3 linked regions of the Sus scrofa genome follow. The protein of the gene in region 3 interacts with the protein of the main gene of each other region in a biochemical or structural test. Links are inferred from orthologs where the notes say so. Each region holds a gene or a part of one and is shown on either strand. Other genes may lie near its edges.

The links.
Region 1: the proteins of CDC34 (region 3) and RNF7 form a complex in vitro, tested with the Homo sapiens proteins (5 studies listed by BioGRID). The link is inferred for Sus scrofa from reciprocal best matches to the Homo sapiens genes CDC34 and RNF7.
Region 2: the proteins of CDC34 (region 3) and CUL1 form a complex in vitro, tested with the Homo sapiens proteins (3 studies listed by BioGRID). The link is inferred for Sus scrofa from reciprocal best matches to the Homo sapiens genes CDC34 and CUL1.

What each region holds. Positions count from the first base shown.
Region 1 is NC_010455.5:82,542,528-82,552,936, forward strand, and holds the start of RNF7 (RING-box protein 2), read left to right. Parts: upstream 1-5,947; 5' UTR 5,948-6,092; coding exon 6,093-6,267; intron 6,268-10,409. Other genes in the region: uncharacterized protein LOC100515582, read left to right, coding at 511-623, 1,069-1,080. UniProt on the Homo sapiens protein: Catalytic component of multiple cullin-5-RING E3 ubiquitin-protein ligase complexes (ECS complexes), which mediate the ubiquitination and subsequent proteasomal degradation of target proteins.
Region 2 is NC_010451.4:109,462,660-109,472,968, reverse strand, and holds part of CUL1 (cullin-1), read left to right. Parts: coding exon 1-58; intron 59-3,070; coding exon 3,071-3,119; intron 3,120-3,488; coding exon 3,489-3,620; intron 3,621-5,918; coding exon 5,919-6,036; intron 6,037-7,461; coding exon 7,462-7,538; intron 7,539-8,593; coding exon 8,594-8,725; intron 8,726-10,309. UniProt on the Homo sapiens protein: Core component of multiple cullin-RING-based SCF (SKP1-CUL1-F-box protein) E3 ubiquitin-protein ligase complexes, which mediate the ubiquitination of proteins involved in cell cycle progression, signal transduction and transcription.
Region 3 is NC_010444.4:77,763,910-77,774,318, reverse strand, and holds the start of CDC34 (ubiquitin-conjugating enzyme E2 R1), read left to right. Parts: upstream 1-5,986; 5' UTR 5,987-6,132; coding exon 6,133-6,309; intron 6,310-8,924; coding exon 8,925-9,011; intron 9,012-9,103; coding exon 9,104-9,201; intron 9,202-9,684; coding exon 9,685-9,819; intron 9,820-10,409. UniProt on the Homo sapiens protein: E2 ubiquitin-conjugating enzyme that accepts ubiquitin from an E1 ubiquitin-activating protein, and catalyzes its covalent attachment to other proteins by an E3 ubiquitin-protein ligase complex. In vitro catalyzes 'Lys-48'-linked polyubiquitination.

The sequences.
Region 1 (10,409 bases), on a different chromosome or scaffold from region 3:
AAAGACTAGTATGAGAAGTTATTCTAGTTTAGAAGTGAGAGGCCAAAAAAAAAATTACCACTGAAACTAATTATTATAAACACTCAAATCAAGAAGATATAAGGAGGCATTCCCATGGTGGCTCAGTGGTTAACAAACCTGACTAGTATCCATGAGGACTCAGGTTCGATCCCTGGCCTTGCTCAGTGGGCTAAGGATCTAGCGTTGCCATGAGCTGTGGTGTAGGTCACAGACGCAGCTAGGATCTAGTATTGCTGTGGCTGTGGTGTAGGCTGGTAGCTCTGATTTGACCCCTAGCCTGGGAACCTCCAAATGCCGCGGGTGTGGCCCTAAAAAGATAACAGACCAAAAAAAAGAAGAAGATATAAGGAAAGGGCACTAGGTGAAAGGAAAGTTTCCTGGTTAACAAGAATGTGGGAGAATGCCCCACTCAGAAGGCTAAGACCTCGTCCATCAAGTGGAATTATGAGATACCCTACCCACTTACTTTTATGTTCCTCCCTTTCTCAGGTAAACTTCCAGTTTTAAAAGTTACAGTAACCCCCCAGATCTCTTCAGATACCTTCATGTCTATTTGGGAAAATAGCAAGAAATCAAGTACTACCCATAAAAAGAGGAAAAAGGTATGCTCTCAGATATCTGTGCTGGTAAGTAGAAGCCACCAGGGGGTGCTCTATGGAGTCTGGGCACTCTGCTAGGATAGATGGTGCCCTGAGTAGCACATTTTGCACTTGATCAAATCAGGAACATTTGGGTTCTAGGTAACACTCCCCTAAAGCATCATTCCACACTGATGGATGATGACCAAGGGACGAGCGGTAACAGAATAACATAGTTCTCTCAAAGAATAGTGCAAACTCTACCTCTTCTCTTCAAACCACAACATACACACAAAATCCTGGCTCCAATTAGCCTATTTGTGGATCTAAAACAATGAATTTACCTAAGCTCTTTATGAAGCTGTTCTACATCTTAAGGGGTAATGATTTACATGTGCTTACTCTCTATGTAGTTGAACTTCCTTTTTCATTTTTTTCTATTTATTATCTCTTGTTCATTTTTTCACAGGCTAGAAACTGAATATGGATGCCATATAGCCATATGGATTTTATCTATTTCCATGACCTACCACACATGCCTGGAAAGATATTGTTTGTTCTATAATAATATTTTTCACTATAACCAAGCCCCTTTCAAGTTGTAAGATTTGATAAGACTCCTTAATGAAAGTTCAAAGTAGTGTTAGTCCTACCATGCTTGTCATTTTCTAAAATGTTGACTTTATAAATAAGCCTTGGTAAAAATAAGTGGGATTCTTCTCTGAAGCTTGTTCTCTTGTGCGTGTGAAATTTATAGTTTGAAGGAAGTCATGATCTTTAAGAAAGAAAGACTTGTCTTTCATAAATATATCTATGGTTGGGAAAAATAGGGATTTTGGGGGAAAATAACCACTTTCTAAAAGGCAACAACCCTAACAATGGGGATCTTCCCCAAATGAGGAAAATTCTGATCACTCTACCCTCCACACTCTGTAAGATTTCAATAGCTCCAAAGGAAATGGAAGCAGTATCCTGATCAATGCATAGATGATAAATTGAATTAGGTAAATTGTATACAGTACAGGGATAAAAAGCATGGGCTAGGCAATTAGATGAACCAGAATTCTCTGTGGAATCCTGCTGCTTTCCGGGTGACCTTGAGCAAGTCAGTTAACCTCCAGGTACCTAAACTTCTCCTCTGTAAGATACAGATAAGAATGGTACCTATCAGAGTTCCCTTGTGGTAGAGCAGGTTAAAGATCTGGCATTGTCACTGCAGCAGTTCTGGTGGCTGAGGACTTAAGACTTCATTTTGAAGTTATAAAAACAAACCCTGTCATTCATCCAACATATAAAATGTAACAAGTGCTAGGAAGTTAGTGGAACCCAACTAACTGAGGAGGTGAGGTTGGGTACAGAAAATTGTGTCCACTCTTGCAGATTAGCATCTAACAAGGAAGATAAGATCCTCATACATTAAAAGTAAAAAACATTAGAGCATGAGTTGAAATAGTATAAATCCTTAGGGTAAGGAAGCCTACAGAGTAGTGACATCAATTTAACAAGTCTCCAGAACTTATATATCCAATGTGTGAGCCCTCCTGAGAAATTGTTCTTGCTCAAAAACCAAAACAAAACAAACTTTTTTAAAGATTTCCCACTGACATCCACTGGGTAGAAGTGTAAAATCCGTGTGCTTATTTAGGGGTCTTTTGGCAATGTCTATCAAAATGAAAAATACATAGCCTTGACTCAAACATTCTACTTCTAGAAATTTATTTTACAGATATACCTCACACATATGCAAAGAAATGTGTATAAAGATGTTCACTGCAGCATTGTTCATTGCACAGTGGAAACAGCTACATGTCTCAAAGGGTTCTCCAGGACATAAACCACAGGAAATACACATGGTGGAAAACTACCACACAGCCATTAGGAAGAATAATGTGGATATGGAAGTGCTTATATGGAGAGATGTCCTAGTCATACTATTAAAGATAAAGAAAAGCCCAGATAAGAGTATATGTGAATTTTTCATATTAAAAATGAACTAAGGGAGTTCCCATTGTAGCGCAGTGGTTAATGAATCCGACTAGGAACCATGAGGTTGAGGGTTCTATCCCTGCCCTCGCCCAGTGGGTTAAGGATCTGGCGTTGCCGTGAGCTGTGGTGTAGGTCACAGACTCGGCTCGGATCCCACATTGCTGTGGCTCTGGCATAGGCCAGCGGCCGCAGCTCCTATTAGACCCCTAGCCTGGGAACCTCCACATGCCGCTGGAGCGGCCCTAGAAAAGGCAAAAAGACAAAAAAAAAAAAAAAATTAAAAATGAATTGATACAACATGAATCAGCAATTTCACTTCTGGGTTTATATCAGAAAGAATTGAAAGCAGGATCATGAAGAGATAATTGTACACCCATGTTCATAAAAGCGTTATTTATAATAATCAAATGGTGGAGGCAACCTATGGATCTATCGATGAATGAACACACACACACACACAAAAGAATATCACTTAGCCTTAAAAAGTAAGGAAATTCTGACACATGCTACATACAGCATGAAAGAACCTGGAGGACTTTATGCTATGTGAAGTAAACCAGTCACAAAAAAGACAGATATTGTACAATTCCAATTATATGAGATATTTAGAGTAGTCAAACTCAGAAACAGAAAGGAGCATGGTGGCTGGAGGGAGAAGAGGGAGATGGAGAGTTGTTTAATGGGTATACTTCCAGTTTTGGAAGGTGAAAAAGCTCTGGAAATTGGTTGATAACAATGTGAATGTGCTTGATACTACTGAATTCTACACTTTAAAATTGTTAGGATGGTAAATTTTATGTTATGTGTATTTTTACCACAATTTTAAAAATTCAAGTGAGTTGATGTGCTCTGTGTTTGTTAGTACATACAGAGCAATTTCTGGAGACTCTATTGACAGTGCTTGCTTTTTTTCCCACTGAATACTCATTTTCCTATTTTAAAGGTCTTATCACTTATGAGCTATCAATTTGTAAAAACTCAAAATTGTTTGATAATCATCAGTAACAGCACTGTTTGGTTGTTATGTGACCTAGTGCCAAAAGAGTGGAAGAAACACAATAAGCGCTATGATTTTTCTGGGAGGAATGCATAAATAGTAGCAAAGAGTGGTCAGTAAGGACACGAAAATTAGTTTTCCTCACAGCAAACGCAATGTAGTTAGAGCAGACAGAGGGAGGTTCTGACCACTTCCAGAGATGTTAAATGGAGTCGGGGGAAGAGAAGAGTCTAAGGTGTCTTTGGATGGCTGAATCAACTAATCTGATGAGGGTCTCAGAGAGGAGTGCTTGGAGATAACATTAGAAAGGTAGGTTGGGGCCATACTGTGGCAGGATTTAAAGGACCAGCTGGGACATTTAGATTTTGTTCTGATGATAATGGAGAGCCATGGAACATTTTGAGCAGGCTAGTGTCAGGTGGAAAGGGGGATCTAAGCAGATTAAACAGGCACTTTAGATTGAATGGGGAGGCCAGACAAGAAGTCAGGACACAATAAGCCAGGAACAGAGTGAAGAGGTTCAGATGAGGCATAAGCATGTACCATTCCTTGTCCCCTTCTTTTTTGGCCACACCCAGGGCATGCAGAAGGGACAGGGATTGAACATACTACAGCTGTAACCTGAGCCAGAGCAGTGACAATGCCAGGTCCTTAACCCACTGAGCCATGAGAGGGAACTCCTACCATTTCTCATTCTTAATCATCCTCTAGCCTTTCATCTGAGTTCCCTCCTTTTCTCTTTCAAACTGCCCAGTTCCCCCCAACTGGGGGCATTTTATCCTCATCTGGTTCTAGCCTTCTTTTTTAAATTAACTATCTGGCATTTATAGCATCTCTAGTCAGATGTGTGGTAGCTTAATGTGAGTAAAATGTGTGTCCTTTATGGTTCATCTGGGTTTGTTTACAGGCATTTTTGTCTGGCTCATAAACTTAGTGGGGTCAACTTTACATCTGCCACCACTACTACTGCTCTGTTCAACCTGACAGCCTTGCAGAGGTTTGCTTTCTCCACCCACTTCCGGGCCTCCGATGCCTCCCATCTTCCCCCAGTTCAAACGTCACCTCTTCCATCAGCATCTAGCCAAATGTGACCCAAATGTATCCACATTTATATTTTCACACATATATGCTTCCTTGCCTCCTCCGCCAGATTTCTGGAGCTTCTAGCCCCCATCCAGACATCAGGAGAGGAGGGGATGAGGCCCAGTAGGAAAAGGTGGGAGGCTCTGAATTCCAAACCCGACACAGCAGGTGTCCACCACTAGGTGGTAGTGGTGATCAGGCATCTTCGTGGGCTCTCCATACCACAGCTTTCTTATTTAAATAGAGATGTTATCTGCTTTGCTTGGGAAAACATAATAATATGACCCCGGGCTAGATGCAGAAGAACCCTGGATTCAAAACAGTTACCTTTAGGGAATAATGGTGTGTCTTTATCTTATTTTTCTGGACCTCAACATTCCTATCAATAAAAGGAGGATGTTGGACTAGATAGAGGTTCTCAGAGTGTGGTCCCCGGGGGTTCCTGGGATCCTTTCAGGGGAAACAAGGTCAAAAGTATTTGCATAACAATATTCACCGCTATTTCTCTTCACTTTCTCCTGTGAGTATACAGTGGAGTTTTATAAAAGCTACAAGATATGTGATATCCTTGTTCTAATGATTACTTGTAATGGGTTTATTGCTTTTCCTTGCGGGGGCGGGGGGTGGGGGCACACCTGTGGCATATGGAAGTTCCCAGGCTAGGGGCTGAATCGGATACAGCTACCAGCCTACACCACAGCTCACAACAACACCGATCCACTGAGCAAGGCCAGGGATTGAACCTGCATTCTCATGTATACTAGATACTAGTCGGGTTCCTCATCGCTTAACCACAACAGGAACTCCTATGGTTATTTTTTAAGTGAATACATTAAAATTTTTTTCGTATTTCTTAAAAAAAAAGTGTGTGTTTGTGTGTACACATATTTTACAAACCGAAAGTTCTTTAATGTTCCAGTGATTCTTAAGTGTAAAGGGGTGCCAAGACCAAAAAGTTTGAGAACGGCTGAACCAGATTTCTAAAAGATAGTCATTCATTCACTCAACAAATAACTACCCCTCCTGAGGCCAGGCATTTTTCACATACCCAGGAGAAGGTGGTGATCAAGTCACGTCCTCGCTCCGATGGCGTTTTCATTTAGGAAGGGAGTACATCAATATGACAACTTGTGAGAGCCAGAAGGGTCACGAAGGCATAAAGCAGAACACCTGCTTCCTGCACCGGCAACCCTCCTGAGCGCGGCGCCCATTCTTGGCCAAAGAGTCGGAGCGGGCCGGGCCCAGGGCGCGGGGGCGGTGACGTCACTGGGACGCGCCAGCCAGTCTCGGGCGGCCTCCGTCGTAGGCCCCACGGTGGCCCGCAGCCTGCGGGCGGCGCTGTGGCCCGGCGAGGGGCCCCAGGGAGCCGCCATAGTCGCCCGCCTTCCGCAACCTAACGTCTCCGCCGCCGGCTTCGCGCCGCCGCCATGGCAGACGTGGAAGACGGCGAGGAGCCCTGCGCCCTGTCCTCTCACTCCGGTAGCTCAGGAACCAAGTCGGGAGGCGACAAGATGTTCTCTCTGAAGAAGTGGAACGCGGTGGCCATGTGGAGCTGGGACGTGGAGTGCGATACGTGCGCCATCTGCAGGGTCCAGGTGATGGGTAAGCGCTGCACTCGAGACCCTGGCTGTGCTGCGGCCTCCGCGGGCCCAGCTCCGGCCCGTGGGACACACCGAGCCTCGGAGAGACTGTTCCTGGAGGTATAGGGGCGGGGTCGCCCTGCCTGGGAGCGAAAGACTGGGGCCACGCCCGTGCTGCTGCTAGTCGGAGGGCTGCGGCCGGCGACGGGGACTGGTAGTCTGGGGAACGAAACAGGTGGAAAGCAGGGCAGTTAAAAAGGTAATTTCAGGTAGTGATGGGTGTGGTCAAGACAATAAAAGTAGGTGAGTTGATGGGAGCTGCGAGGCACCACTTTGGTTTGTGGGCCCAACCTCGCCACCCTTTTCTAAAAGCAAACTGTAGAGGTCACGGTCAAGGCCCTGAGTCAGCGGGTCGTTTTAATGCTTCTTTTCACACACCAGAGTGATGCTCTGGAGTCATCTTCCACAGTAATGACTCTTAGTCTTGTTCCGGAGAGGCGCAGGAAAGAAGTGTCCCTAGCTGTTGCCTTTCGGGATTAGCTACTGTTCTGCTGGCTTTAAAACTTGGATGATTCAAGACTGGTCAGATGGCAGTAGCTTGTCTTGAAGAAGAATGTTAAGCCCTTTATTCAGAAACATAAATTTTAATCTCATTCCTGGCCCTACGCTATCAAAGGATGCCATTTCCTGGAGAAGACAGTGTCCTGATAGGCCTTTGTGGAGAATTTTCTTTTACAAATAAGTCACTTCTTTCTATAAATTTTTTTAAAAATATTGGACCAAGTGAAACCTTTCGGGACAGCTTCATCCTGTTATATTTTATATGGTTTCTGTTCTAAGATCTCAGAACACCTTGAAAAAGAGATGCTGTTTAAATGCATCCTTATTTTTTTTAATAGGGCATTTAAAATCACTGTGAGAGCATCTTAAATGAAACCGAGGTTTCTATAGTTTGAAAGCTTTTACATCTTAAACCGAAAAATCAGAGTTTTGGAGAAAATAACTCAAAAATTGCTCTCAAATCAACTATAAGGAGTTCCCTTCGTGGCGCAGCAGAAATGAATCCGACTAGGAACCAAATCAACTATAAAAGAAAAAATAAAATCTAAAAAAAAAAAAAAAATCACTCTCCCTTCTTGAGGAATGAAAATTCAGAACTGCCAGAATCAAGAGGTTTCTTCATTTACCCTCTCTGTAGTATGTTTTCTTGTTTTTTATTCATAAAATAAGGACTCATTTTAAAAGCAGATTTACAACAATGAGATATCATATATTTATTTTTTTACTTTTAAAAGAATTTTATTTCAGACATGATCCACGTGTTTTGCATATTAGGTTTTAAAAATACCTTGTTTATTGGCCTGCAATACAGCCCCCTTACCCTACTCCTTACTTAAAAACTGAAATCATAATTTCTGCTTTGAGTGGCATTTTTGACTTATCCAAACAATTTTTGTTCTTTTATGAGAAAAAACTTTGTTAAAAATTTTATCCCCTAAGTGATTAAAAAAAGAGGTTTTTCTGAAAGGTTATTTTCTTCTTCTCCCCAGGGAAAAATTTTAAATTTGTAAATAGAAATGCAGAGTTTTAAATAATGGTTGAAATTTGGCAGCAAATAAACCTTCCTGGTCAAAGTATGGGCTCTAAATGACTTAACAGGCACATTAACTTTCTAATTATAGCAAGTATTCCGCTACTGTGGATTAATGTTGCAGATTTACAACAGCTGTACTTTGGATTCAGGAAAGTATTCTGGACTAGACCTCTATATTTTGATTATAAGGTGTTAAAATCCACTTAGTGGTCAGGTGACGGCAGAAGGAAGTTTTATAGACTTGCCAATCCTTAGGGTAGCGTCATTCTTAAAGGTGTTACTGTTATTGTACTCCTTAGAAATGTGCTGTTTTAGATATTAGGAATATCACCAAAGGAAAAATGTTTTCTTTTATCTGAAACTTTAGGAATTTTTATACATTTAGGTCAGTTGTTTTTTTTTTAAATAATTAAATCAAAGCTATAAGCATAATTCAGAGATTTTTAGATTCTACAAAGAGCCTATCTAATCCCACTTCCTTAATATTTGGAATTCAGAATTCATCTCATACATCTAAATGATTTGTTATGACTTCTTTTTTAAAAAAATTTATTGTAGTTGATTAAAAGTGTTTCAGGTGTACAGCAAAGTGATTCAAATACACACACACACACACTTTTTTTTTCAGATTCTTTTCCATTGTAGGTTATTTCAAAATTTTTATGACTTCTTGATCTAAGATTTACCTGTCCACCCATTCTGATGTAGTTAACACTTCCTTGTTTCCACTCTTCCCCACCCCCACCCCCTTCATTCTGAAAGGAGCAAATGACACAGTGAGCAAGCACTGACAAGGAAAAGGGGAATAGGTTTGCTAGTACTGTAGAGGTATAAAGAGCGAGAGCTGGAGTTCCCGTTGTGGCTCAGTGGTTAACGAATCTGACTAGGAACCATGAGGTTCGATCCCTGGCCTTGCTCAATGGGTTAAGGATCCAGTGTTGCTATGAGCTGTGGTGTAGGTCACAGATGCGGCTCGGATCCCGAGTTGCTGTGGCTCTGGTGTAGGCCAGTGGCTGCAGCTCCGATTAGACCCCTAGCCTGGGAACCTCCGTATTACACGGGAGCAACCCTAGAAAAGGTAAAAAAGACCAAAAAAAAAAAAAAACCGAGAGCTGCATGTTAACTGGGACATTTGACATAACCTTTTGGAGCCTTGTTTTCCCAATTTGTAAAAAAGGCAATTGGGGTCATTAACTGTAATTCTCTGATTGCACAGAATCAGGGCCTTGTCTTCACCCTGATATCATGATCCTTATATGTAGTTGTTTGCCTCTCTACCTCCCCATTTGCTGGTGAGAGCAGGGATCCAGACTCGATCATTTTGGTGTCCTGAGGGCATAACTCTTTGCACAGAGGAAATACTCAGTAATTGTGGAATTGAAGAAGTCGTCAGGAGATGTTGGTTGTTTGTAATCCACACTGAAGAGGCCAGGGTGGTGTGGTTTTTTAAGGGAAGACCATGCAGAGTGGTGCAAACAAATGCCTGAGCAAAATCTAATGTAAGAAGAGAAGCAGGCTTCAACTCCACTATTTCTATTTTTACAGAATTATTTTTCTCCAATTTATGTTTAAAACTTATTTTTTCTGTTGGTTTAAACTTCCTTTTACCCAGGTTTGACTCCTTTCAGCTAGTGAATGAATCCATTTAATTGGTTCTTACAATATTCTTTATTACCTCCATCAAGCAATTAATACTGACTGAATTTTGAAAACTTGTAGTATGCCCTTTTGTTCCCACTCCTCATATTTACTCCCAAGTAATTTATTAAAATACTTTACCATTAGGTAAATGCTTTGGCCTCAGACATATTTGTAAAGGGAGCATTTCCTTAAAAACTAAAAAAAGAGAACTAGGTATTTGGGAGTTTTTTTACATTTAATTTTCATATAGCATATAAAGGAGTTCCCACTCTGGCACAGTGGGTTAAGGATCTGGCATTGCCACAGCTGTAGGTCACAGCTGCAGCTTGGATTTGATCCCTGCCTTGGGAACTTCCATATGTTGCCAGTGCGGCCAAAAAAAAAAGACATAAGCTTATACAGTCACATAATTTAAAAATCTGAGAAAATATACAATTAAAAGTCCTTCCCATTTTATCCCTTCCCAGATAAACTTTATTATTAGTTTCTTGAGTATCCTTCTAGACTTTCTATGTATTTGTAAACAAATACCAGTATATATGTGTGGTTTCTTTAAAAGAATGTCTGGAAAATATACTACCCATGAGATTGATCTGTGTGAGCATGCCCAGTGAGCGTGTAACAACTCCTAATATAGTGGAGTATGGTGTATTTTTCTCTGGTGGTTTCATCCACTGTCAGGACATCTTTTCATCAGAATTTGTAAAAATAGAGGGTCAATAACCCTTGTGAAATTGCTCCTGGTCATAAGTAAATTAGTAGAGTTCCTTGCACTTTATTCATCTTTAAGCAGTTATGTTCGAATGAGAAAGTAATAATATGAGTCCTTTAATCTTCATCTATAACCCTTTGGGCCTTTATTTGACTTTGAAGTGTATGGGTTTTAAAAATTGCATTCAGAGCATCAGAATGAGAATTGCTATTTGTTT
Region 2 (10,309 bases), on a different chromosome or scaffold from region 3:
CTTCCAGCAAATCCCCTGAGTTGCTGGCTCGATACTGTGACTCCTTGTTGAAGAAGAGGTACTAGTGACTTTGCAGTTTGTTGTAAACCTGTTTAAAATCTTAGCCTCTTTGAAGAGCTAAACTCTATATTGCATTTTGTGTATAATGTAATTTTTGTTCCTTTTGAGAAAACAGTATAAACGTACTGTAAAGAAGTGGTAGAGCGTTCCCTTTGTGGCTCAGCGGTTAACGAACCTGACTAGGATCCACGAGGATGAGGGTTTGATCCTTGGCCTTGCTCAGTGGATTAAGGATCCAGTGTTGCTGTGAGCTGTGGTGTAGGTTGCAGACGCAGCTTGGATGTGACGTGGCTGTGGCTGTGGTGCAGGCTGGCCGCTATAGCTCCAATTTGACCCCTAGCCTGGAAATTTCCATATGCTGTGGCTGCAGCCCAAAAAGCAAAAAAAAAAAAAAAAAAAAAAAAAAGTGAAATACACCTTTTTTGTCTTCCTAAAAGGCACTTGACTATATATGTTAAATGCCCAGTTTATGTTTTTCTTACGTTACTAAATTCTTTGTAATTGTCGGCCGTGTGAGCATGACCCTTTTAGCTAAATAGATTCCACTAGGCAGGTCCAGCTGGTGGTTACAACAGAAAGTCACCACTTCTCTTCATTCCCTAGTTGTTCTTTTCTATTGGCCTTGCTTAATTTTTTTCCAGTTGAAAATTTTGTAGCTCCCACTGGCTGCTTTTTAAAACAGAAGACTCTCCCATATTACAGTATTCTCATTATTCTGTGTACTTTTAACATTTATCTTCCTTTAATGACTTTGATTTAGTACTGCTTTTTCATAGTCTGTATATTTTGAGCATCTTATTTCTCAACTGATATTTCCCTAATCACTGTATGTGTATTGATCACTAGAGGCACCATAATCTGATTCTCTGCGTTGTGTTTTTTGAAGTTCTCAATAATTTTTGTGTGGGTTTTGGTTTGCCCCAGCTTCTCTTTCACTGAACTAGCTTTCAGTTTAGAAATGCTCCAGGCTTATTTTAGTGATCCAGATATCACATCAACACATGTTGCAGTAGTTTTCCATGCCCCCAGTTAGAGGGGTTTGATATTAAAAAATTTTAAGGAGCTCTCTAAGGCTCATATAATCCCATTATGAAAAAGACTGAGAATAACTACACTACCAAGAGAAAGACTACAAACAAGTCTCACTTAGAAATAGAGATGTGGGGAATCTTAAGTAAAATATTAGCAAACTAAATTTATCAGTGAACCAAAGAATAATTGTTCAGAATGTAGGACAGCTTTCTAGGAATGAATGCAAGGATGGCTCAGTAGTAGCAGATGGAATATAATTGACTTTAACAACAGAGCTATATGAACAACAATGTGGTCTTCTTGATTGACATGGGAAAATATTTAATAAGGTTAATAGCCATCTCCTTTTTTATTTTTTTTTAAGAGCTGCACCCACGGCATCTGGAAGTTCCCAGGCTGAGGGCCGAATCAGAGCTACAGCTGCTGGCCTACACCACAGCCACAGCAATGTGGGATCTGAGCCGAGTCTGTGACCTACACCACAGCTCACGGCAATGCTGGGTTCTTAACCCGCTGAGTGAGGCCAGGGATCAAACCCGCATCCTCATGGGTCGTAGTCAGGTTGATTCACCACTGAGCCACTGAGTACTCCAATAGCCATCTCTTTTAACTTTGTCAGGAAGCCATTTGCCCAAGGCCTGGTGCAAATTGAGTATTTGATTTTTTTCCTCCCTATTGCAGTGCTTATCTAATGTATAATTTAGCAGTTCTAGTCAGATTCTCTAATGTATTCATTTCAGGAGTGAAAATGGACTTTAAATTGGAATGCCTCTTGTGACCTTTTATTTTTTAGGCTCAGTAAAATGAAAATTTTCAATATTTTAAATGTGTAGATACTCTTGTAGGGCTTCAGTTTGTTTGACTTTTTGTCTTTTCATAAATGGTCCTCATCAAGTCTCCTGGTGTATATTATTCTTTAGTTAAGGCTGCTAAAGCAGGCAGAATGGTGGATAGTTCTGAGTGCTGTTTTAACAAGTGTATGTTAGTGATTGGACTCCAGGGACACTTAAGTTAAACTCTTCCAGGAAAGAGACACAGGCCTGACCTATCAGTGAGAAGAATGGGCTTCCTGAGCCAAGTATTTCCCCCCTCCGCCCAGGGCTGTACCCACAGCATATGGAAAGTTCCTAGGCTAGGGGCTGAATTGAAGCTGTGGCTGCCAGCCTATACCACAGCTATAGAAACTTAGGATCCAAGCTGCTTCTACAACCTATGCTGTAGCTTGCAACATTGCCAGATCCTTAACCCACTGAGCAAGGCCAAGGATTAAACCCACAATCCTCACGGATACTAGTCTGGTTCTTAACCCATTGAACCACAACCGGAATTCCTGAGCCAACTATTCTTAAGTAGGATCACGTCTTTAGAGCTTGTTTGCTGGTTGGATCATTTTATATGGATTTTATAGGGGTCTTGTTTATTAAGGTCTCTTGGAGTAAAAGCTTTAAATTTTTACCCTGCAATCACCTTTCAGTTAATATTTATTCATAGACTAGAGTGAATCAAGCAGTTGTAAAAGGACAACCATCTATTTTGTGGACGTAATGACATGTAAGGCAACACTTTAGAGGTAGTTTACAAACTCTTTTATCTTTAATTACTAGGCCATTAAAAGGCCTTTTATTTTTTCAAAGTTAAGTTAAAGCGTATTATATAGAAAGCAATTAGAAAAGTAAAAGGCATGTTTAAATGGATTATCTTAAAGGAAAACTTGATTCAGAATGTTTGGGGAAGCTTTTAATAAGTATCATCTATTGAGATCCATTGTGGATATTCTACATTATTCTGTGGAAGAACAGATTATGAAAGAGAGATAAAGTGTAGGACAGCCTAAACCTTCCCTCTTCCCCGTGCTAATCTGAGAACTAACCACTTGAATGTTCAGAACCACACTCTAATGTGGTTTGGTTGAGTGGTGCTTGTTTGATAAATGTTTCCTGATTTATTTTAAAACACTATACCTTTTAAAATTTTTCAGTTCCAAGAACCCAGAAGAAGCAGAGCTAGAAGACACACTCAATCAAGTGGTAAGAAGCTCCAGGGTCACGTCAATGTGCAAGTAGCCTTTTCTCTGACAAGTGGCTTTTCAGTTATTTAAATGAGGCATATGGAATATGGAAAGTAGTAGAAGCATTCGTTTTATTTTGAATCTATGATTTTACTCCCTATATTAAGTCCTTAATTTTGGCATTTGTACTTTCCTTATTTGTATTCAGTCTAGACTTCACGTAATTTTAGGGATTGATGAAAATACCTGCCTTAAAGATAATGGGGCAGTATTGTAAGCGTGGCATACAGGGCTGGACAAAACGGAGCACACATGTTTGTTTCTGGCCTGGGTTTGGTGACAGTGTCTTTGTAAGTGTGTTAAGTGTGCTCTGGTGTGGCTTTTCTAGATGGTGGTCTTCAAGTACATAGAGGACAAAGATGTGTTCCAGAAGTTCTATGCAAAGATGCTGGCCAAGAGGCTTGTCCATCAGAATAGCGCCAGCGATGATGCTGAAGCAAGCATGATCTCTAAGTTAAAGGTAAATGTAATGTTTTCCGGAAAAATGCCAGTTTTAAGTCACTAAAGTTCTGGGTTGTCAGTTGGGCAGAGTAGACAATGGATGACATGGATTCTGTGCCGTGAGAACTCCGCCCTCCACCACAAGGACCCCACCGCCAGTGTTGTGACAAGCCCAGGTCAGGCCTCACATGCTCTGCCAACCCTTCCCCTGCTGCATAGAGCCCCTCCTGCTCCAGCTGAGCCTGGCACATCGTCCAAGTGTCTTCTCCGAGCTCCTGCACCCGTGACCTCAGCTCTGTCTCCACTCCCCAAGAATTGCTGCAAGTGGTGAAGCCCAGACTCAGCTTTTTGTTGGCCTTGGGTGGGTCTGCGGGAGGACAGAACACTTTAAGTGTTAGTTTGCTGTTGCATATTTCTTCATTCGGCCGCATTTGTGTCAGTGCTTCCTGGCCTGCCAGGTGCTATTATGTGACCTGGACCATATTTCACTTTGACCTGAATTTTTTTTTTTTTTGATGATTTTTATTTTTTCAATCATAGCTGGTGACCTGAAATTATAGTTACGTGGTTGTCTTTACCAGCTTGGGCTGCCATACCAAAATACCATAGGCTTGAGTGGCTTAACAAGAGAATTGATTTTGTTTTTGTCTTTTTGCTATTTCTTGGGCCGCTCCCTCGGCATATGGAGTTTCCCAGGCTAGGGGTTGAATCGGAGCTGTAGCCACCAGCCTACGCCAGAGCCACAGCAACGCGGGATCCGAGCCGCGTCTGCAACCTACACCACAGCTCACGGCAACGCCGGATCGTCAACCCACTGAGCAGGGGCAGGGACTGAACCCGCAACCTCATGGTTCCTAGTGGGATTCGTTAACCGCTGCGCCACGACGGGAACTCCTTAACAAGAGAATTGAATAGAGTCCTGGAGGCTGCTGGGAAGTCCAGGATCCAGGTACCAGGCAGTTCAGTGTCTGGTGAGGACACTCTTCCCAGTCCAATCCTGGAGGCCCAGCCTCATGACCTTTTCTGAACTTAATTGTCTCCCTGTGGCCCCACCTCCAAATACCATCACATTTGGGGTTAGGGCTTCAACATGGGGACTAGGGGGCACAGCTCCACCAGTGGTAGTGGGTGAGAGACAAATTATGTCATCTTTATATTCTTCCAAGGTGTCAGAAATCCTTGCCCTTAGTGATAGTTATTGTGTGTATACAGACCTAACTCTTCCATTTATAGCTGTATAATTTTTGATAGTGTATTAATTTTATTTATATCTTATTTAAAACAAATTAAAGTTAGAGTTCCCGTCATGGCGCAGTGGAAACAAATCTGACTAGGTACCATGAGGTTGCGGGTTCAGTCCCTGACCTCGATCAGTGGGTTAAGGATCCAGCATTGCTGTGAACTGTGGTGTAGGTCACAGACGTGGCTCAGATCTAGTGTTGCTATGGCTATGGCATAGGCCAACATCAACAGCTCCGATTGGATGCCTAGCCTGGGAACCTCCATATGCCGCAGGTGCGACCCTAAAAAGACAAAAGACAAAAATAAATTAATAAAATTTGTTTTATTATTTTTTATTTAAGTATAGTTCAGAGTTCCTGTTGTGGCTCAGAGCTAACGAGCCCGGCTAGTATCCACAAGGACATGGTTTAGTCCCTGGCCTCTATCAGAGGGTTAAGCATTCCGAGTTGCTGTGAGCTGTGGTGTAGCCACAGACATGGCTCGGATCCTGTGTTGCTGTGACTGTGGCATATGCCAGCAGCTATAGCTCCGATTGGGCCCCTAGCATGGTAACATTCATATGCTGCAGGTGCAGCCTGAAAAAAAAAAAAGAAAAAGAAAGTATAGTTGATTTACAGTGTTATGCTAGGGAGTTCGAGTCATGGCTCAGTGGTTAACAAATCCAACCAGGATTCATGAGGACGCAGGTTCAATCCCTGGGCTTGCTCAGTGCGTTAAGGATCCGGCCTTGCCAAGGATCTGGCCTTGCCGTGAGCTGTGGTGCAGACCGCAGATACTGCTCAGATCTTGCCTTGCTGTGGCTGTGGTTGGTGTAGGCCAGCAGTTGCAGCTCCAATTCGACTCCTAGCCTGGGAACCTTCATATGCGGCCCTAAAAAGACAAAAGAAAAAGAAAAAAACAATGTTATGCCAATATATGCTGTAGATAGTGTATTTTTTAATCTGCATTTTGTATACCTTGAATACAGTTAAATGTTACAAAGTACCTGTCATGTACTGTGATTTCTATCAGATTCCCTTGTGTACATTGATATTTCTATAGCAATTAATAAGATCGTTATCTGGGTTCATTGCAGCAAGCTTGTGGTTTTGAGTATACCTCTAAACTTCAGCGGATGTTTCAAGATATTGGTGTAAGCAAAGATTTGAACGAGCAGTTCAAAAAGCACCTGACGAATTCAGAACCACTGGACTGTGAGTATTATCCACGTGTTTACAAGCTTCCTTTGTAGGAGGTATTCTTAGAGGAGCCGGTGCTTTTTTGGAACAAGGTAGAGAGATGACAAAATACTAAGTAGGAATGGTGGGTACTTTATCAGAAATTGAAGGACAGACAAGCAGGAAGTTCTTCCCAAATGCACTGGCCACCTCATGACTCCTGTGTGATGATAGGAGATGAGATGACAGCCGTAGAAATGTGTGGCCTTTTCTGGAGAACCTTGTGCTGAGCATGGCCAGCTGGGAGTTGGAGGAGCTGAGCCCTGACCTCTTCTACTTGCTGACATGGCTGCCCAACCCCAGGCACTTGCCAGCTCCAAGCAGTTTTAAGTTTCAGTTAAAAGTTTTTAACCTTAGTTTGATTCCATTCTAGCAGTGTTTTTTTGGGGGGGGGTGTTTTGTGGGTTTTGTTTTGGTTTGGTTTTTTTTGCCTTTTTTTTTAGGGCCGCACCTGTGGCATATGGAGGTTCCCAGGCTAGACGTCAAATCAGAGCTGTAGCTGCTGGCTTACACCACAGCCACAGAAATTCTGGATTGGAGCTGCATCTTCGACCTACACCACAGGTCACGACAACGCTGGATCCTTAACCCACTGAGCGAGGCGAGGGATCAAACCTGCAGCCTCATGGATGCTAGTCAGATTCGTTTCCGCTGAGCCATGACGGGAACTCCATAGCAGTGTTTTTAATTATAAGAAACTGACAGGGCCATAGAGATAACAGCCAGACAAGAGCCCTCATGGCTTCAGATTGACGCTGCTGGCCAGGCAGGCTAGGAGGCCAGCTGGGCTCCTACTGCAGGAGGAGGGTGGCAGGGCATGATGACATCATCTTTTTAAATGAAGAATGGAGATTGTACTCTTCCCAAATTGAAAGAACTATTAACCTGTTACTGACAATTGTACCGTGGACTTGTCAGCCATCTGTGATGATGGCATTACTGTTACAATTTATAGATTATTGAAGATACATAAGGTCTGTGTGTCAGTTCACAGTACTCTGCTACAGAAAACATAATGAAGTTGGTTTACTTTGGGGGTTTTTGTTTTCCTTTTTAAGTTGGGGGCTCTAATGCCAGTCAGGCCTGGTGAACTCCGGTGTGCCTTGAGTGGACTGTAAACTAAAGCAGATGAAGCCAAGCAGGCTTATGATGTTGTAATTCTGAGTTAGAAGAGAAATGAAAAACTCACCCTTTGGAGGAGAGAATTTCTGGCTCTTCCCTTTACTGATTTTAATTGAATAAAACAATTTAATTTTAATGTGCTCAGTCCTTAGTTTTATATTGAATCCGGATTTTTCATTTAATGTGTTTCCTGATAATAAAAAGCAACCCATGTTTATCTGAAAGGGTGGCTTTTTTCAGTTTATAAGGCTAATTAATTATTTTTCCCCACGGCCCCAGTGGATTTCAGTATTCAAGTTCTCAGCTCCGGATCGTGGCCCTTTCAGCAATCCTGTACGTTTGCCTTGCCGTCAGAGGTAAGGATGGGTTTACCTTCTGTTCCCTTCATGTGGAGCAGAGTTGAAGGGGGCAGCCTCCAGCATTAATGCAGATGGTGCCTAAGAAGGCCTTCCTGCTGCCTAGCCATGTGGCCTCAAACGGGGCAGCGCCGGGCAGTCATGAGCTTGGGGCTGGGTAGGGGTCAGGGGTTGGCCACCTTTGTCTCAGCTCCATATGTGTTCATTCACATGCTTATTTACCCTCAGAAGTAGAACCTAATAGTTCTGTGATGAACATCATGACCATACCTATGTGTCTTGAAGTAGAAACTTTTTTTATGGTATCCTCAAATGATTAAATTTACATGCCCTTTTTTTTTTTTTTTTTTTGCATGAGAGTAGAGACTTGGTATTTGTATTTTACCTAAGCGTTTTGAGCTATAAACTTGGGCCAGTGGTTTTTTGTTTTTTTTTTGTTTGTTTGTTTGTTTTTTTGTCTTTTGTCTTTTGTCTTTTTTGTTGTTGTTGTTGCTATTTCTTGGGCCGCTCCCGCGGCATATGGAGGTTCCCAGGCTAGGGGTTGAATCGGGGCTGTAGCCACCGGCCTACGCCAGAGCCACAGCAACGCGGGATCCGAGCCGCGTCTGCAACCTACACCACAGCTCACGACAACGCCGGATCGTTAACCTACTGAGCAAGGGCAGGGACCGAACCCGCAACCTCATGGTTCCTAGTCGGATTCGTTAACCACTGCGCCACGACGGGAACTCCGGGCCAGTGGTTTTGTTTGTTTTTTTGGTCTTTTTAGGACCACACCCTAGCATTGGGAAGTTTCCAGGCTAGGGGTTGAATTGGAGCTGCAGCTGCCGACCTACACCTACACCTACGTCGCAGCTTGTGGCAATGCCAGATCCTTCATCCACTGAGTGAGGCCAGGGATCAAACCCTCATCCTCACGGATACTAGTCGGGTTCTTAACCCACTGAGCAACAGTGGGAATTCCATCCAGCCCACTGTTTTTTATTGAGGAATGTTGGCTGCCAAATATGGTGAGATACATATTCCACATAATGCCCCCCCTCCTTTTTGTCCAGTTGGAACGGAGTTATCAGCGATTCACAGCTTTTTATGCTAGCCGTCACAGTGGGAGAAAATTGACATGGTTGTATCAGCTGTCTAAAGGAGAGTTAGTAACAAACTGCTTCAAAAACAGATACACTTTGCAGGTAAGATCACCTTCTCCTTTTGGTTTTTATTTCTTAAGTGTAAATGAAGATAAGAGAAACCATAGAAATCAGAATCCAGTGGTTCACACAACAAGAACCTAGAGTTAAGATTCTGGCAAAATAATGCAGTGAGCTATAATAATGAGCTAAGTTCTAATTATTTGTGGCTAAGGGACAAGGTATTTGATGGCACTTAGCCTTTTTTCTCCTCCATGAAAGGGGGGTATCAGTGCCTCTGCTTTGCGTATGGTGTGAAAATTAAATGAAGTTATGTTTTTAAAAAGTGGCACAGCTCCTGCCTGACACAGGTTAGGTGTTCAGGTAGTAGCTTAAAAAGCCAGGGTTTCATTGTTTAAGTAGATGATAGCTCTTTTCCTTCCTTAGCAGGGCAGTTTCACATTGACAGCAACCCTCGGAGTTTGTAGCGGTGCTGAGTACTAGCTAAGAATAACTGTAACCCAGGTTTCTGTTTCATAGATGAGAAACTGAGCATCAGCTCATTTAAGTTATTTCCTTGGATCCTAGCTGATAGAGGTCAGAGCCGAAACTTCCATTAAGGTCTTTTCCCTTCAAGAGTCCATTTTGAAGAAGGGCTCTCCAGTGTGCTTATAAAAACAATTATAAATCCTTTGAACCGGTGGCATATGGAAATTCCCAGGCCAGGGATGGAACCCGAGCCACAGCTGTAGCAATGCAGGATTCTTTCACTCACTGCTTTTTAAGTATTAAGAAACTCGTGACTGCGTTCTGAAGGCTCAAGCTGCTCGTTAATTTAAACTTTCAGTAATGCTGTTCTTATAAAATAGTTAAATGTCTGATGTTCTGTTATGCCAGGTCCAGTGATCTTTATCACCTTGACTGTGGAGTATTATGTGCTTGACCCTTGAGCAACCTGGAGGTTAGGGGCACCGACCCTCTGTGCAGTTGAAAATCTGCATGTAACTTATAGTCAGTGCCCCTTAGCCACAGTTCCCCCACATCTTTGGATTCAACCAGCCTCGGGTCTATAGAACCATTGTATTTAGTACTGGAAAGAATCCACATATAAGTGGACCTGCACAGTTCAAACCCATGTTGAGCGTTGACTATATGACTGAAATTTTTTTTCTTCATTCCCTAGGTATACATAGAAGAACCCATGAGTTCATACTTTAGTACCTAAGATTTCAGTGCCCTTTTTTTTGATCAGCGGCAGACATTTAGCCAGAGGTGTGTTTGCTTTGTCAAGGCAGCCAAGGGTGGGCACAGCGTAATATGCCAGGAATGTGCTTTTTGCCTGCCCTTATGTTTTTATTTAAGGTACAAACAAACAGGGTACTTTTTTTGTGATTTTTCTGTGATCCTATAAGTAATATTTATATCAACTTTCTTGAGATAGTTTACATATGAAAGTCACCCATCCTAAGTATACAGTCTGAGTTATGGCAAGTGTATATACCTTCAGAGCCACCACCAGGCTATGGGACATTTCTTTGAGATTTGCTTTCATTTTGGTCACCACCATTAGAGAGATGGCGGCCCCTGCTCATCCCGGGAAAGAGCTCTCAGAACCCCCCACCTCACCCCCCACCTCTGTCATCTTTC
Region 3 (10,409 bases):
TGGTACAGTCTGGGGAAGTGCAGCTGTCCTGCTTCCCCGGGCTAGCAGCAGCATGGACACTCAGCCTCCCTGCCTTGTGTAGTCCTTCAACAACCCTCACAGAAGGCTCCTCCTCCTGCCCCTTCCCTGAGAGAGGGGTGTCCTCCTGCTCCTCCAGGGGCCTTGCCTCTCCTCGTGCTTCCTCCCCTGGCATCTCATCAGGCCTGTGGCTTCAATTACTGCCTGGTCACCAAGGAGTCTCAAATTCACATCTCAGGCCCAGCCCTGCAGTGCTCCAGCTCCGGAGAGCCAAGCACCTGCTGGGCGTCTCCTCAGGGACATGCCAAGGACATCCCAGGCCTGCCACATGCAAGACGGAAGCCTCCAGTCAGCCTCCCTGAACCTGGGGCTCCTCTGGAGCCTGTGGTCTCTGCAGAAGCCCCCCAGTCTGCCCAGAACAGGGACTCCATCTGGATGCCTCCCCTGTCCCCTCAGCTGGCCTTTCTCTCATCCTGTGGGTTGCACAGCCATCCTAGCTTCATCCAGCCTGCTCCTTCCACACCAGCCCAGTCACGTCCTCACCCCTCTGGGCACCCTCAGCCAGTAGGAGTGCTCCAGTTGCCCTGGCCTCAGTGATGGGCTCAGGAACAGCATGTGACTCCCAGCTGGCCAATGAAATGCCGCTCTGGGGCCTTTTCTAGGGCAGCTGAGTTGGGAGAAGCTAGGCCTGGATGGTGGAGCTGTCTTTTGTTTTTTGTTTTTTTATTGCTTTTTAGGGCTGTACCTGTGGCATATGGAGGTTCCCAGGCTAGGGGTCAAATTGGCCTACACCACAGCCAGAGCAACGCAGAATCCGAGCTGCGTCTGCGACCTGCACCACAGCTCACGGCAACCCTGGATCCTTAACCCACTGAGTGAGGCCAGGGCTCGAACCCAAAACCTCATGATTCCTAGTTGGATTTGTTTCCGCTGCGCCACGACGGGAACTCCTGGAGCTATCTTTTTACCATAAGGCCTGTGAACAAAGTGAGCACTCAGGAGAGCTGAGCCAAGAGAATCCCCAGTTTCTTTTCTTGCCTCTGTCCCCTCACTCTGATTGAGGCACATTGGTCTCTAGCTAGTCTGTCTTGTCCCTACCTCAGGTCTTTGCATGAGCTGTTCCCCTCCCTGTACACTGTTCCTCCAGACCCATGTGTCTCACTTCCTCATTTCATTCTGTTCTCTGCTCAAATGCCACCTCCTAAGAGACCCCCCTTTCTAAAATAACCCTCCTGCCCTACCCCCTGTTACTAATGCCTCACCATGCTTTATTTTTTTTCATAGCAATTTTTGCTACCAGAATTTACCAGCTTTGGAGTTCCTATCATGGCTCAGTGGTTAACGAATCTGACTAGGAATGATGAGGTTGCGGGTTCAATCCCTGGCCTCACTCAGTGGGTTAAGGATCTGGCGTTGCCGTGAGCTGTGGTGTATGATCGCAGACGTGGCTCATTGCTGTGGCTCTGCCTTAGGCTGGCAGCTATAGCTCGGATTTGACCCCTAACCTGGGAACCTCCATACGCCATGGGTGCAGCCCTAGAAAAGACCAAAAAAAAAAAAAAAATTATCAGCTTTTTTGTCCTTTCTCCACGTCCCCCCAGGGGCAGGATTTTTGCATATTTTATTCATTGCTGTACCCCCAGCACCTAGAATTGTCCGTGGAAGGCCATGAATTAATTAATCAATTTTCCAGAGGAAGAATCTGACACTCATAGGGTCCAGTGTATTTAGTCCCTGTGGCTATTGTAACAAGTCACCACAAAGTGAGCAACTTAGATACAAGTCCATTATCTTACAATTCTGGAGGTTAAAAGTCTTAAGATCCAGGTGTGGGCAGGGCTGGTTCCCTCTGGAGGCTCCATGCCAGAATCTATTCTCTTGCCTTTTCCAGCTTCCAGAGGCACTGCCTCCTTGGCTCATGGCCCCTTCACAGGGGCTACCTGGAGAACCAGGTCATCCCACTTCAAGGGGTGGAATCTTAGCTGCAGATTTCCTTCTCTCAGGTGAGGCATTGTGTACCCAGGCTCTGGGGTCAGGATGTGGACCTCTGTGGCATTATTGTCTACTACTGTAGCTGAGTGGACCCAGCTTTCAGAGCAGACTGCAGAAAGAGACAGAGCTGAACTTGAAGCCCACCCTGTAACCTTTGTCTTCCTTCTCCATGTCCCTCTCCCTGTGAGGGGTCACATTCTCTCCCTTCCCCCCTTTTTTAAGTATAGTTGATTTACAATGTTGTGTCAATTTCTGCTGTACAGCAGTGACCCAGTCTCTCTCTGTCTCTCTCTGTCTCTGTCTCTGTCTCTCTCTCTCACACACACACACACACACACACACACACACACACCATTTTTTACATTATCTTCCTTCATGGTCTGTCCTAGGAAGCTGTAGGAAGCTGGATATAGTTCCCTGTGCTGTATGAAAAGACCTCATTTCATTGCTTATCCATTCTAAGTGTAATAGTTTGCATCTACTAAGCTCAAACTCCCAGTCAATCCCACTCCCTCCCCACTCCCCCTTGGCAACTGCAAGTCTACCCTCCATGTCTGTGAGTCTGTTTCTTTTTTTTTTTTTTTTGTCTTTTCTAGGGCCGCTCCCAAGACATATGGAGGTTCCCAGGCTAGGGGTCTCATCAGAGCTGTAGCCACCAGCCTACGCCAGAGCCACAGCAACGTGGGAGCTGAGCCGCGTCTGCAACCTACACCACAGCTCACGGCAACGCCGGATCCTTAACCCACTGAGCAAGGCCAGGGATCAAACCCGCAACCTCATGGTTCCTAGTCGGATTCATTAACCACTGAGCCATGACGGGAACTCCTGTGAGTCTGTTTCTATTCTGTAGATAGGTTCATTTGTGGCTGTTTTAGATTCCACATATGAGAGCTATCATGTGGTATTTGTCTTTCTCTTTCCTTTTTTTTTTTTTTTTTTTTGTCTTTTTGCTGTTTCTTGGGCCGCTCCCTCGGCATATGCAGGTTCCCAGGCCAGAGAGAGCCTATGCCAGAGCCACAGCAACGCAGGACATCTTCTTAATCCATTCGCCTGTCAGTGGACATTTAGGTTGTTTCCATGTCTTGACTATTGTGAATAGTGCTGCTATGAACTTAGGGGCCCATGCACCCCCCTGCTTCAGCCCTGCAGCACCACTGCCTCCTGAGATGATGACTTTTCCCAACAGGCACAACTGCAGCAAAATGCTATTGCGCAAATCTCCGTAACATATTCCAGCTCCATGCCAAGGGCTTACAAGCATTATATTTCATGTAACTCATTTTAAGATAAACAAGTTGAGCATTGGAGGACCATTTGTTTTGTTTGCTTTTCAGGGCCACACCCGCAGTATATGGAAATTCCAGGCTAGGGATTGAATACAACTGCTGGCCTACACCACCACCACAGTGATTCAGGATCTGAGTCATGTCTGCAACCTACACCACAGCTCACAGAAACACCGGATCCTTAGCCCACTGACTGAGGCCAGGGATTGAACCCGCCTCTTCATGGATCCTAGTCAGTTTCCTTACTGATGAGCCATAACAGGAACTCCCTGGAGGACCATTTCTAAAGTCAAGGCAGAACCTAGATTTGAATTCAGGGCTCTGTTTTTTTTTGTTGTTGTTGTTTTTTTTTTTTTGTCTTTTTGCTATTTCTTTGGGCTGCTCCCGAGGCATATGGAGGTTCCCAGGCTAGGGGTCGAATCGGAGCTGTAGCCACCGGCCTACGCCAGAGCCACAGCAACGCAGGATCCGAGCCGTGTCTGCAACCTACACCGCAGCTCACAGCAACGCCAGATCCTTCACCCACTGAGCAAGGGCAGGGATCGAACCCGCAACCTCATGGTTCCTAGTTGGATTCGTTAACCACTGTGCCATGACGGGAACTCCAAGGGCTCTGTTTTTTGTTTTTGTTTCTTTGTTTTGGCTGCACCTGCAGCACGTGGAAGTTCCTGGGTCAGGGATGGAAACCACACCACAAAGTAACGAGAGTCATGCTGGAACCTTAACCCACTGAGCCAGCAGGGAACTCCCAGGGCTCTTCTATAGCCCGTGGATGGAACGCTCAACTCAAATTGGCTTAATAAAAGAGTTCCCATCGTGGCTCAGCGGAAACAAATCTGACTAGCATCCACGAGGACACAGGTTCAATTCCTGGCCTCGCTCAATGGGTTAAGGATCTGGCATTGCTATGAGCTGTGATGCAGGTTGCAGACTTGACTCAGATCCCACGTTGCTGGCTTAGTAAGAAGCGGAAGGAAAAAAAAAGAAATTTATTGACTTGCACCATTGCAAGGGGAGGTCAGGCATGGCTGGATCCAGGAGCACAGTCACTGGCACTTTCTCATCAGTTGGCTTAGCTTTCCTGAGTGCCAGCTTTGTTCAAAGATTTCATGTTGATGAGATGGTCCTATGCACAAGGCCCAGGGCTCCCAGCTCAGCCATCTCAGCGTTGTGTCCCAGAAAATATCCCAGGCTGCATCTCCTTAGACAGTCAAGTCACATGCTGAACTAACCACTTCAGCCAGGGCTTAGGGATCAGTCCAATTCGAACCTTGCAGAGTAAGAGTGGGGGCCCCCTCAGGAAATGGAGGTGCCATGGCCAGAAAATGGGCAGGCAGAAACCTGGGATGTCCACAACCTCAGGACGTTGCAGAGCCTGAGATGCAGGCTGTCTTGGGAGACAAAGCCTCAGTGGGACCGAATGCAGAGTATGTAAACCTGGTACCTCCCTTTACCTATTCCCCACCCACCCAATAATTCCTGCCATATACATGGGGATACATCTTGGGAAACTTCTCTGGAAGAATCATAATTAATTCTAATTACTATTTATCAGCAAGCTGCCACTGACCAACACTATGACATTGGTGTCACTGGCAGAGAACAAGGGACAGAGAATACTTGGAACTCTGGACAAAGTGTGTGTGGCCCATCCTATAGGGGAGGCCCCTCCAGGTCCCCTGGTGTGCAGGGCAAGCCCCTGTATTGATGAGAGCCACTGAAGCTACTGCTCTGCCCATGGCTCTTCCTCAGGCTCCTTTGCTCATTCCCAGAGATGACATTTTTTTTTTCTCCAGATTTACCTGCCTGTCCTCAGCTGGGGCCAGCCCAGGGCCAGGTGACAGGCAGGCGGGGGAGGGAATCAGCTCTGCCCAGCCTCAAGTGTTGGTGCAGCTGCTGGCTGCCCGGGTCACCTGCCAGCAAGGCCATCACAGGCCACGGGGGCCATGCCCACCCTCGTGGGGAGCTGTCACCTGCGGACCTGCAAGGCTAAAGACCAGGTCCGAGCGCGCGCACATACACACCTCTCCGACCCAGAGCTGTGTGGGTGTCTGGGCCAGAGTGCTGTCAGGTCAGCCAGGCGGGGTCGGAAGGTGGAGGGAAGCCCAGACCCCCCCACCCCCCGGCTAGCTGGAGTCAAAGGTCAGCCTGATATGGACACAGCTGGGGTCAAGTTTTTATCTGGGGTTTGGCCAGAACAGGTCCCGAGACTGTGGGGCAGAGCACACCCTAAGTGGGAAGACGGCCGGAAGTGGAGGGACCCTCTTGGCTGGCCCGAGGCAGCCTGGGCCCGGGTCATGAGTATGGAAACTGAGGCTCGAGCCGGCCCCGCCCCGGCCCCGCCCCGCGCCGGGACGTCACAAAAAGGCCCAAAAGGGCCGCGAGCCGGGCGGGGCAGCGCAGCGCAGCCCTGCCCGCGGCCCCGCGCACAGGCATCAGGGGAGCTCGTAGAGCCGGGGCGGCGGAGGCCTCCCAGGGCCTCGGAAGCGCCAAGGCGCCTGCGCGCGCGGCCCCCGGCTCCCGGCGGCGCGCTCGGCGGCCGGGGGAGGGATCGCTTCCCATCGTGCCCCGCGGGCGGGCGCGCAGGCGCGGTCGGGGCAGGCTGCGCGCAGGCGCGGGCGGCGGCGGGGGCGGGGCGCGGCGGCCGAGGCGAGGGCCGGGCGGCGGCGCAGAGCGAGTGGAGCCCCCGGGTGCCCCGGGCGGCGGCGGCGGCGGCGGCGGCGGCGGCGCAGAGGAGGAAGGCGGCCCCGGCCCCGGCCCGTCCCGCGGTCCCGCGGCCCCGCGGCCCCGCGCGCCCCCTGCCCCGGCCCCGGACCCGGGCCCGTCCGCCGCCGCCATGGCCCGGCCGCTGGTGCCCAGCTCGCAGAAGGCGCTGCTGCTGGAGCTCAAGGGGCTGCAGGAGGAGCCGGTGGAGGGCTTCCGGGTGACCCTGGTGGACGAGGGCGATCTGTACAACTGGGAGGTGGCCATCTTCGGGCCCCCCAACACCTACTACGAGGGCGGCTACTTCAAGGTGAGCAGCGAAGAGGGGGGCGGGCGAGCGACCCTGCTCCGGGTCCTCGGGGCCCCTCCTCCACCTCTGCTCCCTGCCCGCTCCCCTCGCGGGGCCCCCTCCCTCTGCTCCACTGCCTGGCCGCCTCCGGAGAGTTCGGGGCTCTCAGTCACCCCTTCTTCCCCGTCTGGCCTCAGGAGTCCCCGAGAAGCGCCCATCCCCTCTAAGCCCGCTTCAGGCCCCCGAGAGGAAACCTAGGACCCTCCGTGTTTCTCTGGGTGCAGGGTTCTTGCTTCCCCCAGCCCTTAGTGTTCCCCGCCTCCCGGCCCTGCTCGCTGCTCAGAGGAGACAAAAAAGCCTCCCCACAACCAGCCAATACTGTTGCGGGGAGCGCCGGCTTAGGAAGGGAGGGAGTGGGGGAGGGAGGCCCGCTGGCCTGGGGACTGGCTCGGCCTCCTGCTCGGGTTCCAACAGAGGCCAGGATGGGGCCTTGGCAGCAGGGACCTGCTTGGAAAGCGTCCACCCTTGCCGATAGCAGCCGGCCAGGCCCTCTTGACTTCATCCTGAGCTTTATGTAACCTGCTCTCTCTGACGGTCACTCCCACCCTCCTCCCTGTCCCTGGAAACCACGGAGCAGAACCCACCCCAGGTTCCACCTCAGAAGGTTGGGGTCCTGGCCTTTTTCAGGTTCCAATGAGTCGTTGGCTTCTTGGGCCCGAATCTCAAGCTCTCGTGGTTTCTGGGCCCTCGGTGGTGGCCCGAATCTCAAGCTCTCGTGGTTTCTGGGCCCTCGGTGGTGGCTTAAATCCAAGCAGTTCTCTCTTGTTGTCAGAGCTGGGAGGCAAGTGTTTTCCTGGGGACTTGTGTGTCATGGACTCCAGCCAAAACCTGGGGAGGATCTGAGTCTAGCCGTGGTCTTGAGGGACCCCTCCCAGATCAAAAGGACTTTGCTCCTTGAGCCAGAGGGACAAGGCAGGGGGTCTCCTTGGGTGAGAGATGGGGCCTGAACCATCAGCTGGGAACGAACACACACACACACACCCTGCCAAGAGCCCTGCAGGCCTGGCTGGGAGGCCTGGGTTGGGGGGTGGGGAGGCTGATGCCGCCTGGACAGATTCTGTGTTTGCACTTTTGGCTAGTTCAGCAACCTCAACAGAACAGCCTGAGCTACTGGCATTGCTGAGGTGGGATGGGGGGATGAGTGTGGACAGCTCTGGGCTGAGTTCTATGGTTGGAATCCATCTTCCCCATGCAGGGCACGGATTTAGGGTTGCTCACTAAGTGATCTAACCAGCCTCCCTCCCTGGTCTCTTTTGTGTGCTTCTGGGTACAACTGGCTGTGAGGATAAGGGCCGGTGCTCAGAGCTGGGAGAGCAGAGTCCTACTCTTCAGCCAGGCCAGGACTCTGGAAGGAAAGGAAAGGATGGGGAGGGGGGAATAGGGGGGTGGTTCTGGCTATTACTCTCTGTTTACAGGGGATTGTGGGTAGGGCCTTCTAGGCTGGCTTTGGGGGGAATAATCCTGTTTTTCTGAAGAAGGAAGGACTGGGTTCAGGGTGCTGCACATTTCTCATCTGCCTGCTATAGCATCTGTCCTCAGGCCAGCTTGGGACCCACGGTGGTCTCTGATCCTCGTGTCCCAAAAGATGCAGAAATAGCAGGGGCTGGAAGTGCCAGGGGGTCCACCATCGCTTCCCAGCCTCCTCCTCTGAGTTTTCCAGGCCTCACCCACTTCCCCATATGAGCCAGAGGGTCCTGGGCAGCAGGTGATGAAGGCATGCCCTGGAAACCCAAGTTTGGGAGCCCCTCCAGAGTTCTGTGCCCTCAGGCAAAGTGCTCTCCTTTTCTGAGCTGCAGTTTGCACAGCAATAAAGGCACCCTGGGACTTGGTGGGTGCTAGGTGCTTAGTCAGGGGAGGCCTGTCACCCTGCCTTGCTAAGGAAGCTTCAGTTGGTCTTGGGCTGTCACTTAGAAACCCAGCACTGGGCTTCGGAGACCCCAGGGCAGAGTCTGAGGCTTGAGTTCCAGGCTGGCAGAGGGACTTCCCTTGTGTCTCCAGCATAGGAGAGCAGTTCTCCACAGATGGGTTGAAGGACCTACAGCAGTGTATCCAGTGTGGCCCCTAGTATGCTGCCTGGCCTCTGAGAGCCTGAAGCACCACCAGATCCTGGGACTAGGGCTTAAATAGGCTGAAGCCAAGGCACAGCTTTCACCCATAGGGCCCTCCCCCATCTGCCCCGTGACCTTCCTGTCCGCCTTCCTGACCCCCCCGCCAGGACCGACACCTTTGGGTAGAGAGCCTCTCCGCCCAGCGCTGACTCATGTCCGCCCACGGCGGGCGCCTGCCCAGGGAGGTGTGGGGATGACTGCCCGGTGAACACGCGGCTATTTTAATCCCCCCACAAGCTGGAAGCTGAGGCCCAGGCCCCTGCTGGCATGTGCCCGCCCCTCCCCCAGGCCCACAGGACTGGAGCTACTCCCTGGCAGTGCCCATGCCCCCCAGCAGCAGGCAGGGACCGGGGACAGCTCTGGTGACCCCAAAAAAGCCCCAGGTTTGTGTGAGCTGTGGCCGGCCAGCGAGGTCCCTGGCCAGCCTGCTCTGGCCCTACTGAGCCCATGCTCTCTGCCTCCCACCAGGCGCGCCTCAAGTTCCCCATTGACTACCCTTACTCCCCACCAGCCTTTCGGTTCCTGACCAAGATGTGGCACCCCAACATCTATGAGGTGAGCTGGTCCCCTGTATTGGGGTGGGTGGGAGGGGGTGCTATGGGTGAGATCTGGAGCTGCAGGCACTGACCCCCTCCTGTACCATGCAGACTGGGGACGTGTGCATCTCCATTCTCCATCCTCCGGTTGACGACCCTCAGAGTGGGGAGCTGCCCTCGGAGCGGTGGAACCCCACCCAGAATGTCAGGTGAGGTCCTTGGGTGCTCAGAGGCTGGTGGTAGCAACGTGGGACCCCACCTTCTGCCTGACACCCCTGCCCCACCCACCTCAGGAATGGCTCTGGGAATTCCACGTCTTCATCTGCCTGCCCTGGGGTCTCCCCGTCTTCCTCCAGCCCATGATCACAGCCCCTCGTCCACAGACAGACTGCTCACCCCCAGAGGCCTGGGCACCCTGCCTCCTGCTGCATGTCTTTTCCGGCCCAGACCGCAGCAAAAGTGGGTGGCATAAGGGGACCCCCTCTCCAGGCAGGATGATGCCTTGGGGAGGGGGACAGGCCTACTTCAGTGCAAGGAAGGTGATTCTGGCATTGGCTTCCCTCAGATCTTGTCTGAGGAGCTTGGGAGGTGGGGGGTGGAGCATGGTTCAGGGTGTGAGGCTCCCAGGAGAACATGCCCCTGACAGGCTGGCTGGGCGGAGAACACCCCTCACACTGACTCCTGCTCCCCAGGACCATCCTCCTGAGCGTCATCTCCCTCCTCAACGAACCGAACACCTTTTCACCTGCCAACGTGGATGCCTCGGTGATGTACAGGAAGTGGAAAGAGAGCAAAGGCAGGGACCGGGAGTACACGGACATCATCCGGTGAGCCCTGCTCCCTCCACTCTCTGGAGAACCCTTGCTTCTCTTCCTCTTGCGCACCTTGAGGCGTTCCAGTTCTGGGAGTGTGTGGTCCACGTCGAGCATGGCTGTGCCATGTGCACCGCAGAGTGTGTGCATGTGTATACCTCACACGGGCACAGAGATAAATATCCTGTGACCACTGAATTTCAGCAGGGGGTCTTGCCATGTTCCTTTGCTTTGTGACAGAAAGGGCAGAGATCCTGCCAGTCTGCCTGTGTGTGTCTCCCTCCCCCCTCCACCTGCGTGTACCCCTCATGCTCGCCCCCAAGAGTAGGTCTGTGAGCCTGTGGCCTCTGCTGCTCTCCTCCAGGAGTGTGTTTTCCATGTGTGCTTTGTGTGATCTATTTTTTCACCTTATAGCTGTGAATGTCACTTCCACTTGCAAAAGGGAACAAAGCCATGTGATATCAGCATGTTTAGGAAATACTTTCTTTCATGAAAAACAGTTTTTTCTTGGTTATAGAAGCAGTGCGTTACTTAGGAACTTGCCAGGGTTAACTGTCCCTCATTTTCATTGTCTCCTGTCCCTGCTGTGACGAAGCAGGTAGCCA